2 linked regions of the Drosophila melanogaster genome follow. The protein of the gene in region 1 interacts with the protein of each later gene in a biochemical or structural test. Each region holds a gene or a part of one and is shown in the gene's direction. Other genes may lie near its edges.

Region 1 (4,192 bases):
CCGTTTGCAGAATCATCTTAAGTGGATGGGCCACTCATCCACGATAATGGACATCCAGCGCTCGCTGCGTAATGATAATCAGCACTGCGAGGTGGTGCTGGCCTCCAGGGACGGCGTTCGAGTGCGCGCCCATCTATTCGTGCTAAGCACTTGCAGCGAACTGATGCGCAACCTCCTGGTGGACGTTCCGCGCGGCCAGGAGGCAACCATAATGCTGCCCGACATCCGCGGAGATTTGCTGGAGTGCATGCTGTCCTTCATTTACATGGGCGAGACTAGCCTGCCCTCCGCGTCGCTCCCCGAGTTCCTGGAGGCCATTAACCTCCTCGGCATCAAATCTGCCATCAGCTTTGAGTGCAATCCATCGGCTAGTCCACCCAGTGTCGATGTAGAGAACCATTCGTTAGCCGTGGAGTCGGCCAAGTCCATTACAGGACTCCAAATCGCTGAGGCCGAGCTGCTGGACGACGAGGAAGAGCCACATCCGATGGTCTCCGTCCCAGCCACTACACTCGCGGGTTCTCAACACCAGCCCAGCCATTCCAGTCGGTCATTGGAGTACATTGATGTCTACGAGCCGCCGAAGATCACCTACTCCATCGAGCACATGGACGGAAGTTCCAGCGGCAACCAATTTATACTCACCGAGAACACGGGCACTTTCACCATAACGCAGTCAGCATCGAGTTTGTCCAAAATTGAGGCAGATGAAACGGGTACCAGTGGCGCTGAAGTGGACCTGGGCGATGATGACGTGGATGCGGACCTTGCTGAGGATTCTGAGGAGCACGAATCACAAATGATCGACGAGGAGTTCGCGCAAGCCGATCCTCTTATGGAACTAGAAGCTGGTACTGAAATGGACGACGATGACGACGTGCACGACCAACTTGTGGACGAGGAAATAGACGATAAGCCCCGCAAGTTGGGCGGGGGAAAGACGCGAATCCGTCGCCCCATAAGTGCGAAGGCTGTCAAACGATTGTCCGATTGCAAGCCAACGCGAATCCAGCAGTTCGCAGCTCTGAAACGTGAGGTAAAAGACGATATCAACGATGCTTTGGATCTGGCGGCCGACGCGGTTATCATCGAGGGCTTAAGCCTACAAAAGGCCGCCGACCGGTTTGATATCTCCAAGACAGTCCTCTGGAGACGCGTGCGCACTAATCCCGCCTACATGCGAAACAATCGGGAACGACCATCCCTGCAAGAGGCCTACGAGCGACTGAAGAATGGACATTCTTTAAAGAGCATCAGCAGTGAGTTGCAAATCCCCATGTCCACGTTGCACAGACACAAGGTTCGTCTGTCCGCCCAGGGACGCCTGCCCAACTTCGTGTCCTGCCGAAAGCGCGACAATACGCCCAAGGATGAGCTGCGCGACAAATTAGCCAAGGCGGTGCATGCCTGCCTGAATGAGGGAATGTCCCAAAACCACGCGGCCAACCTCTTCGAGATCCCCAAGAGCACGCTCTGGAGACACCTGCAGCGACGCACGACGAGCCAGAATAAAAAGGTCAAGAAGGAATTGAAGGCCAATTACGGAGACGATATGCTAAACTAGAAATAAGCCTTCGGAGTTCTGGTTTTACAAACGTTCAGCTGGAATCAATAAGTTACCATTAAGAAGCCATAAGCATAGGGTTTAACTTCATGTTGTCCCATCAGTGTATGTACATCAACCATATCCTATCTCCTGATGAAACCAAAATTGAGTCCGGAAGAGCAGCAAGAGATGCTATTCTAGAGGTAGTTTTGTAGACTTAGTTCTATATGTAGATACCATTACCATTTTAACTGCTGCTCTTTTATTGTTCACTCCATCGTAATTGGTTAATTAAATACAACCAAAAATTAACAAAAACTTCTTTTTAAATGGGTCAAATTTATAACATGAGAGAAATATGTACATGCATGTAATTAAAATGCCGGTACTCTTCTCCAGCAAGGGTATAAAAATATCGATATTTTCGCTGGTTTTTCACATCCCTATCGCAATCTTTTCCCGGAATGAAGAGTCCAAATCGGTGGTGTAGTGATGTCAAGGTTACCAGACCGATCCCTGCTCACCCGCTGCGAAATTTTCGTCTACTTCGGGGTCTATATAGCGTATATAGTTGTGGGCCTGTACAAGATCTATGGGCTGCGGGATCACATAGTCAAGGAGGCAAAGTTCCAGTTTCCGGAGGGCTGGAGTTTGTATCCTTTTTCCCAGCGGCGTCGGGATGACAGCAACGATGAGCTGGAGAACTTTGGAGACTTTATCGTCAGCTTTTGGCCCTTTTACTTGCTGCACGTGGCTGTCCAAGGATTCATACGCTGGAAACGTCCCCGCCTTCAGTGTCTGGGATTCATCGGCGTCTGTGCCTTGGCTCTTAGTGTAAACCTGGACTGGTCATCGATGGTACTACTAGTCACATTGATAGCCAGCTACTACATCGTTTCCCTGCTCTCACTAAAATTTCTCGTGTGGCTTTTGTCCGCTGGCTGGATACTGTGCATCAATGTGATGCAAAAGAATGTCTGGTGGACAGATCGCGTTGGTTACACGGAATACGTCCTGGTGATTGTCACAATGTCCTGGAGTGTGCTTCGCGGATGCAGTTATTCCCTGTCCAAGATTGGAGCTAAGCAGGAGGATCTTACGAGATACAGCCTCGTCCAGTATCTGGGCTACGCCATGTACTTTCCCTGTCTGACCTATGGGCCGATCATTAGCTACCAGAGGTTCGCAGCCCGGAGGGAGGATGAAGTGCAAAACTGGCTGGGATTCGTCGGAGGAGTCCTGCGCAGCGCCATATGGTGGTTGGTGATGCAGTGCGCCCTCCACTATTTCTATATACACTACATGTCGCGGGATGTGCGAATGGTGGAGATGATGGACTCGGTGTTTTGGCAGCACTCCGCCGGCTATTTCATGGGCCAGTTCTTTTTCCTGTACTACGTGGTGACATACGGCTTGGGAATAGCTTTTGCTGTGCAGGATGGCATCCCAGCGCCCAATAGACCGCGCTGCATCGGACGCATCCACTTCTACTCGGACATGTGGAAGTACTTCGATGAGGGTCTGTACGAATTCCTTTTCCAGAACATTTACGCAGAGCTGTGCGGCAAGCGATCATCGGCAGCGGCCAAGTTCGGTGCCACCGCATTGACCTTCGCCTTTGTGTTCGTCTGGCATGGATGCTACACCTATGTGCTTATCTGGAGCATTCTGAACTTCCTCTGCCTGGCTGCAGAGAAGGTGTTTAAGACGTTTACCGCGATGCCGGAGTACCAGCGGTGGACACAGCGTCATCTGGGAGCCGTGGGTGCTCAGCGCTTGTACGCAATGCTGGCCACCCAGCTCTTCATTCCGGCCGCCTTCTCCAATGTCTACTTTATCGGCGGACAGGAGATTGGAGACTTTCTAATGCGTGGCGCCTATCTTAGTGGAGTGGGCAACTATGTGGCACTCTGCTTCTGCAGCTATTGTTTTTTTCAATGCTCTGAGTTGCTCCTGACCAAGTCGGATGGTCGCTCCAAGACCAAAACTTTTTGACCTCGCCAAAAGTCTGTCTAGATTTACGTGAATCTGACTACTTATGAACGAACTTGTATTATAAGACGGCTTTAGAATTGTTTTGTGTTTTCACAGAATAATAATTTACTTAATTTTCACTTTAACAAATAATAAATATATAATTGTATATAATACAATGAGTTTTTTATCTGTTCATTCTACCTTCCGCCTTCTCCTAGTATCCTTTCAGTCCAGCCACCTGGTTTGCGTGCAAGTGGACTGAAAGTTGTCGGGGAAGAGTTCGTCCATTATTTCATCGCATGTCTGCGTGTGCTGCGTGTTGTACAGACCATCTGGCCAGTGAGTTTGGGTTTGGATGTGGGACAGCCCCAGTTCCTCAAACAAATCGTCGCAAGTTTGGGTGTACATGTGGGCAGAGGTTTGCAAGTCAAACATAGGTTCAGTTTCTGAATACGCGTGGAAATGGCTTCCGACCGCAACAGGCTCCTGTTCCTCTGGGAAATCATCGGTCATCGTTCCTATGTCGCCTCTGGTGTCGGGCGTTTGGGTTTCTATATCGCGTAACAAGGGCGCCAGCACTTCGTTCCTGATTTCATTCAGATCGTCCTCCTCCGTTTGTGTTTCCATATCTAGTTTCTGGGATGACATCTCTAGCGCATAGGACACATC
Region 2 (4,973 bases), on another chromosome or scaffold:
GCTTGCTCCACGGTCTGCGATGCCATTTATTCATGCTCATTAAGTGCTGGAGCGATTGTTGTTTGCCCATGGGCCCGGGATGGTCTTCGCATCTGTATCTGGCTTGTTCACGGTGTGTTGTGTGTTCATTCACAAATGAGCGCCTTAAGCAGCTCCGCCCCACAGATACAGATACAGATACAGATGCGGAGGCCCAAAGACACATTCGAAACTCACACAGATACACACAGCGACGAACGTAATGAGTTCGGTGCGCACACAAAGAAGGCAGAAATTTATGTGGCAGCCACATAGACTCTCGCACACACACTCGAATGCCCGATGGCCCAGCATCCAAGACTCGTATATTCCATACCCCCTTCCATTTCAGCTTCTTCATCTTTAATTTGGTTCCGTGTATCTTGTTGATGGCGTTTTGCCTTCTCTTATATCTTTTGCCGCCACGACCAGCTATTGTATTTCTCCTCTTTCGATTCGTTTTATTTTTTTTCTTCGATTCATTTCGTTTTTTGTCGAAATTATTATGCTATGCCTTGCATTCCAGAGCGTTACCAAAAAAAAAAAAAATGCTATGCCCCCCCATGGAATCCGTTACATGAGCAGGTGCACCTTGGCCCTTGGTTCTACCCCGTTGGAAAGTGACAATTTCTTGGGCACACATTGACGGGCGTATTCCACAATTCGCGCTTGCCAAGTGACAGTGCAAATAGACCTGGTGCAACCGCAAAAAAATAAATAAGGTCTGGAAAAAGAGCCAAAACAAAAGATTAGCGCTTGCCACAGATCCAAGTTCTGAAAGTGCGAAAAAGCTAAAAAGTTAAATTGGAGATTTCCCAGTTGTGGGGAATTTTATATTAGCCAAAGTCAACAGAGATAAAACTGGAAATTTATTGATTTCCAGAGTGCGGCATCAATCCGCAACTTAGTTATTTGCTGTGCATAAATATAAGGTACCTAATTGCAAATTGTATTTGCCAAAATCGTTATCGGTTTTTGCAATATATATAGACATATTTGCGATTATTGACATGGCGTTGAACGGAACCTCTGGCGGAGAAGGAAATTGTTAAATTGACCAGTAATTTGTAGGTCCTAAGGCGATATCTAATCGGAACATGACCACTACCTGAGGGGCATATGAATGACTCACTGGGTGACATAAGCTCGGAGCCTTCGATGATCATAAAGTACTTTAGTTTTAAGCACTTTTTCCGTTCCTTGAAGACTGGCAAACGGAAGCAGCATTGAACCCATATGTACTCCACATATCATACCATATACAATATACATATATATGTATGTATATATATAAGGCTGCCCAGGAGTCACACAATACACAAAAAACCGGAACATTATTAATTTACAAGCAATAAAGCGAAACGAACAACAAAACGAAGAAAGGCAACGGAAAAAAGTGAACAATGGCCTGCGATGGAGGAGTTGCAGGGCCAGAAGCGGCTAACAAGCCACAAGACTCGAGTCGAGTCGAGTCCGAGTAGTGCAAGTGTTAAGAGAAATTGCAGTTGCAGTCGAGGATGCTGCAGCTCTTCTGCGCCAGCAACGCACACTATCACACATCCAATTGGCAACAGGCACACACTTTCATCCATGGCCATAATGGACCGCAGCACACTATGCCAATGCCATCCAACATCTGTTGCCAACATTGCTTGTACATAAGAGCCGAAGACTCAGGCACTAACACATGCAAACCAGTCTTGTGAGTATGCTGCATCATCTGGTTGTCCCGCTTCCACTTCCCTTGCGCATAAGGCAGCATAAAAATGAACACCACAGCCGATCGAACGTCGAGTGGCATACGCATACAATCACAACGCGGAATGAACTCGAGGCGATAGTGTGTGTGTGCGTGTGTGTTTGTGTGAGCTAAAAGGCCTAGGGTTCTTGAAAGCACCCTCGTCGTACTCGTACTTATACTCGCATTCGTATTCGCTGCCGTACTCGTACTCGCACTCGAACACTCTGCGCGCACGATACTCCGCTCGGAAATGTCATTTGTCAATCACAGTGCGAGCGCAACGGTTGTCCGAACCGAGAGCTAACTGCCAGTTCAGCGGAGAACAGTTAAGACCGTAGTTAAGTCAGTTAGGACCTGCGATTTCGCCGACTCAAGTATTTCGATTTAGCCAGTTTAAATCCAAATAATACCATAAATCTGAATAACAAACGTGTCGCCAAATAAGCGTGTCTGTGTGCCAAAAGTGAAGTGCTAAATAACCAAAAAAATAAATAAAAAAAATTAAAGGAGATACAAAATCCAATCAAGAGAAACAGCAAACAACGAGTCTTAGATAAATCATGGATAACCACAGCTCAGTGCCTTGGGCCAGTGCCGCCAGTGTCACCTGTCTCTCCCTGGATGCCAAATGCCACAGTTCCAGTTCCAGTTCCAGCTCCAAATCCGCAGCGAGCTCCATCTCCGCAATCCCGCAAGAAGAAACGCAAACGATGCGCCACATTGCGCATACGCAGCGTTGCCTCAGCAGGCTGACCTCTCTGGTGGCCCTGCTGCTGATCGTCTTGCCGATGGTCTTTAGCCCGGCTCACAGCTGCGGTCCTGGCCGAGGATTGGGTCGTCATAGGGCGCGCAACCTGTATCCGCTGGTCCTCAAGCAGACAATTCCCAATCTATCCGAGTACACGAACAGCGCCTCCGGACCTCTGGAGGGTGTGATCCGTCGGGACTCGCCCAAATTCAAGGACCTCGTGCCCAACTACAACAGGGACATCCTTTTCCGCGACGAGGAAGGCACCGGAGCGGATCGCTTGATGAGCAAGGTAAGGAAAACCCTCAAACACCGTAAGCTAGTAACAAAATTTGTAATACATCATTGGGAAAGTTTCGCTTATCGGAATCATTGTGACAAAGTGACTTAAAAATTATTTGTAAAAACCGAAATATTGACTTATTAATCACGATTAATCAGAAATTACTTAACATTTAGTATTGTTAGCAACACAAATGAAGTGAAAACCCAGTCTTACGCCAAATAAATGACTAATTCTAGGAAAAAATGTGAGATAACTCTACCAAACGGAACTTGTAATGCTTTAATAGTACACTTAATATTTGGTCTAGGTATTATTTTGTGATAAAAGTAAGCCTACTTTGATATAGGAACACAATGAAATGCCTGTTAAATCTGAGGTATGGAGGTCAAACACACCATTTAGATGAGATTTTATTGCTGATATTGTTCCGAATTCGTCTTCTATATCAGACAGCTGGGTTCCGATTTGCGGCTAGGCTAATTCCGTGCTTATTGCGCACTGCACTCACATTTTGCCACCCGTCGTGGTCCGTAAATTCAATTGTCAAATTAGCGATCGCTTATCGCTCGCGCTGTTTTATAGCCCGTATCTAGCGATCGCCCGATGGCACGAGATTGTGCCACTCGGTTCCCATTGATAAACGCTACGTGGCGGAAAAGTGCCCAATCATTGATCGAGCATTGGCTATTTCACCAACTTTATGGTGGCGATGGCTGCCATAAAACTGGGCTGAAATATAGTATTAGTTTTGAGCATTGGCCATTTATATGATTAATTATGCATCTTATCGCCGCACTGCACTTGTTTCGCAAGTGCAAAAAAACAGGAAGCCCGATACTCGACGGCTGAACGGTAGATAGCGCCTGAATTCCATCGAACTAAGCCATAAAGCTGCAAAGCGTCCCGAAATCCAAACAAACCGAGCGAACGCGTTCAACAACCTCGAGCCCAATCGATCCCCGGGTCATCATTGCAAATACATAGTTTACTCAACATTGTGTGTACGCTTCGCAAATGCGTTTTCGATTTCGCGCTGAACAACAAACAGGGTATCGAATGCGGGAGATTACAAGTCCCGGTATTTATCAGGTTTTACTCAGCCAAAACCACCGCCCACCGCCCACCGCCCACCCTGTCCGCGCCCCAAAAGTGGAGGCACGCGAGCATTTGCCGCTTATCACCGGCGATTGTCTGATAAGCGGACTGCAGCCAAGTAGTTCGTTTGCCAATACACGGTTACTATCCCCCCAGATAGTCACCCTATATTTGCCAACATGTGTAGCTACATGCTGGCACTGAAAGAAATTGGGTTCGCTTGGCATAATACTATATGCTTGCCACTTTATGGTTTATGCTAAAAGAGGTATATGATGGTTTTTATGTGTGAAATAAAATGTGAAAATTAGTTTAGGTGCAAGTTATACGTTATACGTTATACGTTGCTAGTTGCGCTATATCGGTGCCAGAACAAAATGTGTGCTAAGATACCAGCTAAGGCGAAGAACAGCAGTATCTTATCGCCATAAAAAAAAAGGGGCGGGGGTAGTGAAAGTGGAGTGGGTGGCGGTGGGATGACCACCCAGTTGGTGGGGGAGCGGTGGTTGAGTTTCAAAGTGCGAAACAGCTAAAACAAGTGTTCAATTCAAGCACCATGCGACAACATTTCCAATTAGCCAGCAGTTAGTGGGGTGGTTGCGTTGCGGCCAGAAGTCGGCTTAGCACAGTCAAGACCCCCTAAGAGGGCCGACATTGAAGTTGCTGATATATATAATCGGCACGCTTCCCACCAGCTTATCTTCGTGTTACTTTAATGAAATTTTAAGTGTCGATGTGTAAAAATAGCCTTGTTATTGATTAGCGCCATAAACGAGCTATTGGGCTTTTATGGCGGACTTCCAGTTTCCTTGGACGATTTGGTGCTATTGAACAACAAACTAATAATCAGAATTGTGGGAAGACAGATTACGCCTGCCAACCGACTAATATAGTTGATTTAAAGGGTTTAGTATCGCCCACACAAGTGTTACAATGACTTTCGATTTGTTGATTTATTAGTCAGTGGTTAGTGTTTCGCAAAAACGACTTAGATCTTTAAAAATCAGATTTTACTGTACTGTAAAGTTAAATCGTATTATCGAACCAGTTGTTCGCCTGCTAGAGTTTCACTTGAAAACCAATTC

Evidence for each region.
Region 2: of the proteins of rasp (region 1) and hh, one has a biochemical effect on the other in vitro, tested with the Drosophila melanogaster proteins (one study listed by BioGRID).

The regions. Positions count from the first base shown.
Region 1 is NT_037436.4:3,160,161-3,164,352, forward strand, and holds rasp (rasp), read left to right. Parts: upstream 1-2,019; 5' UTR 2,020-2,038; coding exon 2,039-3,541; 3' UTR 3,542-3,692; downstream 3,693-4,192. Other genes in the region: CG15812 (uncharacterized protein), read left to right, coding at 11-1,564; ASCIZ zinc finger protein, read right to left, coding at 3,749-4,192. UniProt on the Drosophila melanogaster protein: Required in hedgehog (hh) expressing cells for production of appropriate signaling activity in embryos and in the imaginal precursors of adult tissues.
Region 2 is NT_033777.3:23,138,868-23,143,840, reverse strand, and holds the start of hh (hedgehog), read left to right. Parts: upstream 1-1,934; 5' UTR 1,935-2,319; coding exon 2,320-2,799; intron 2,800-4,973.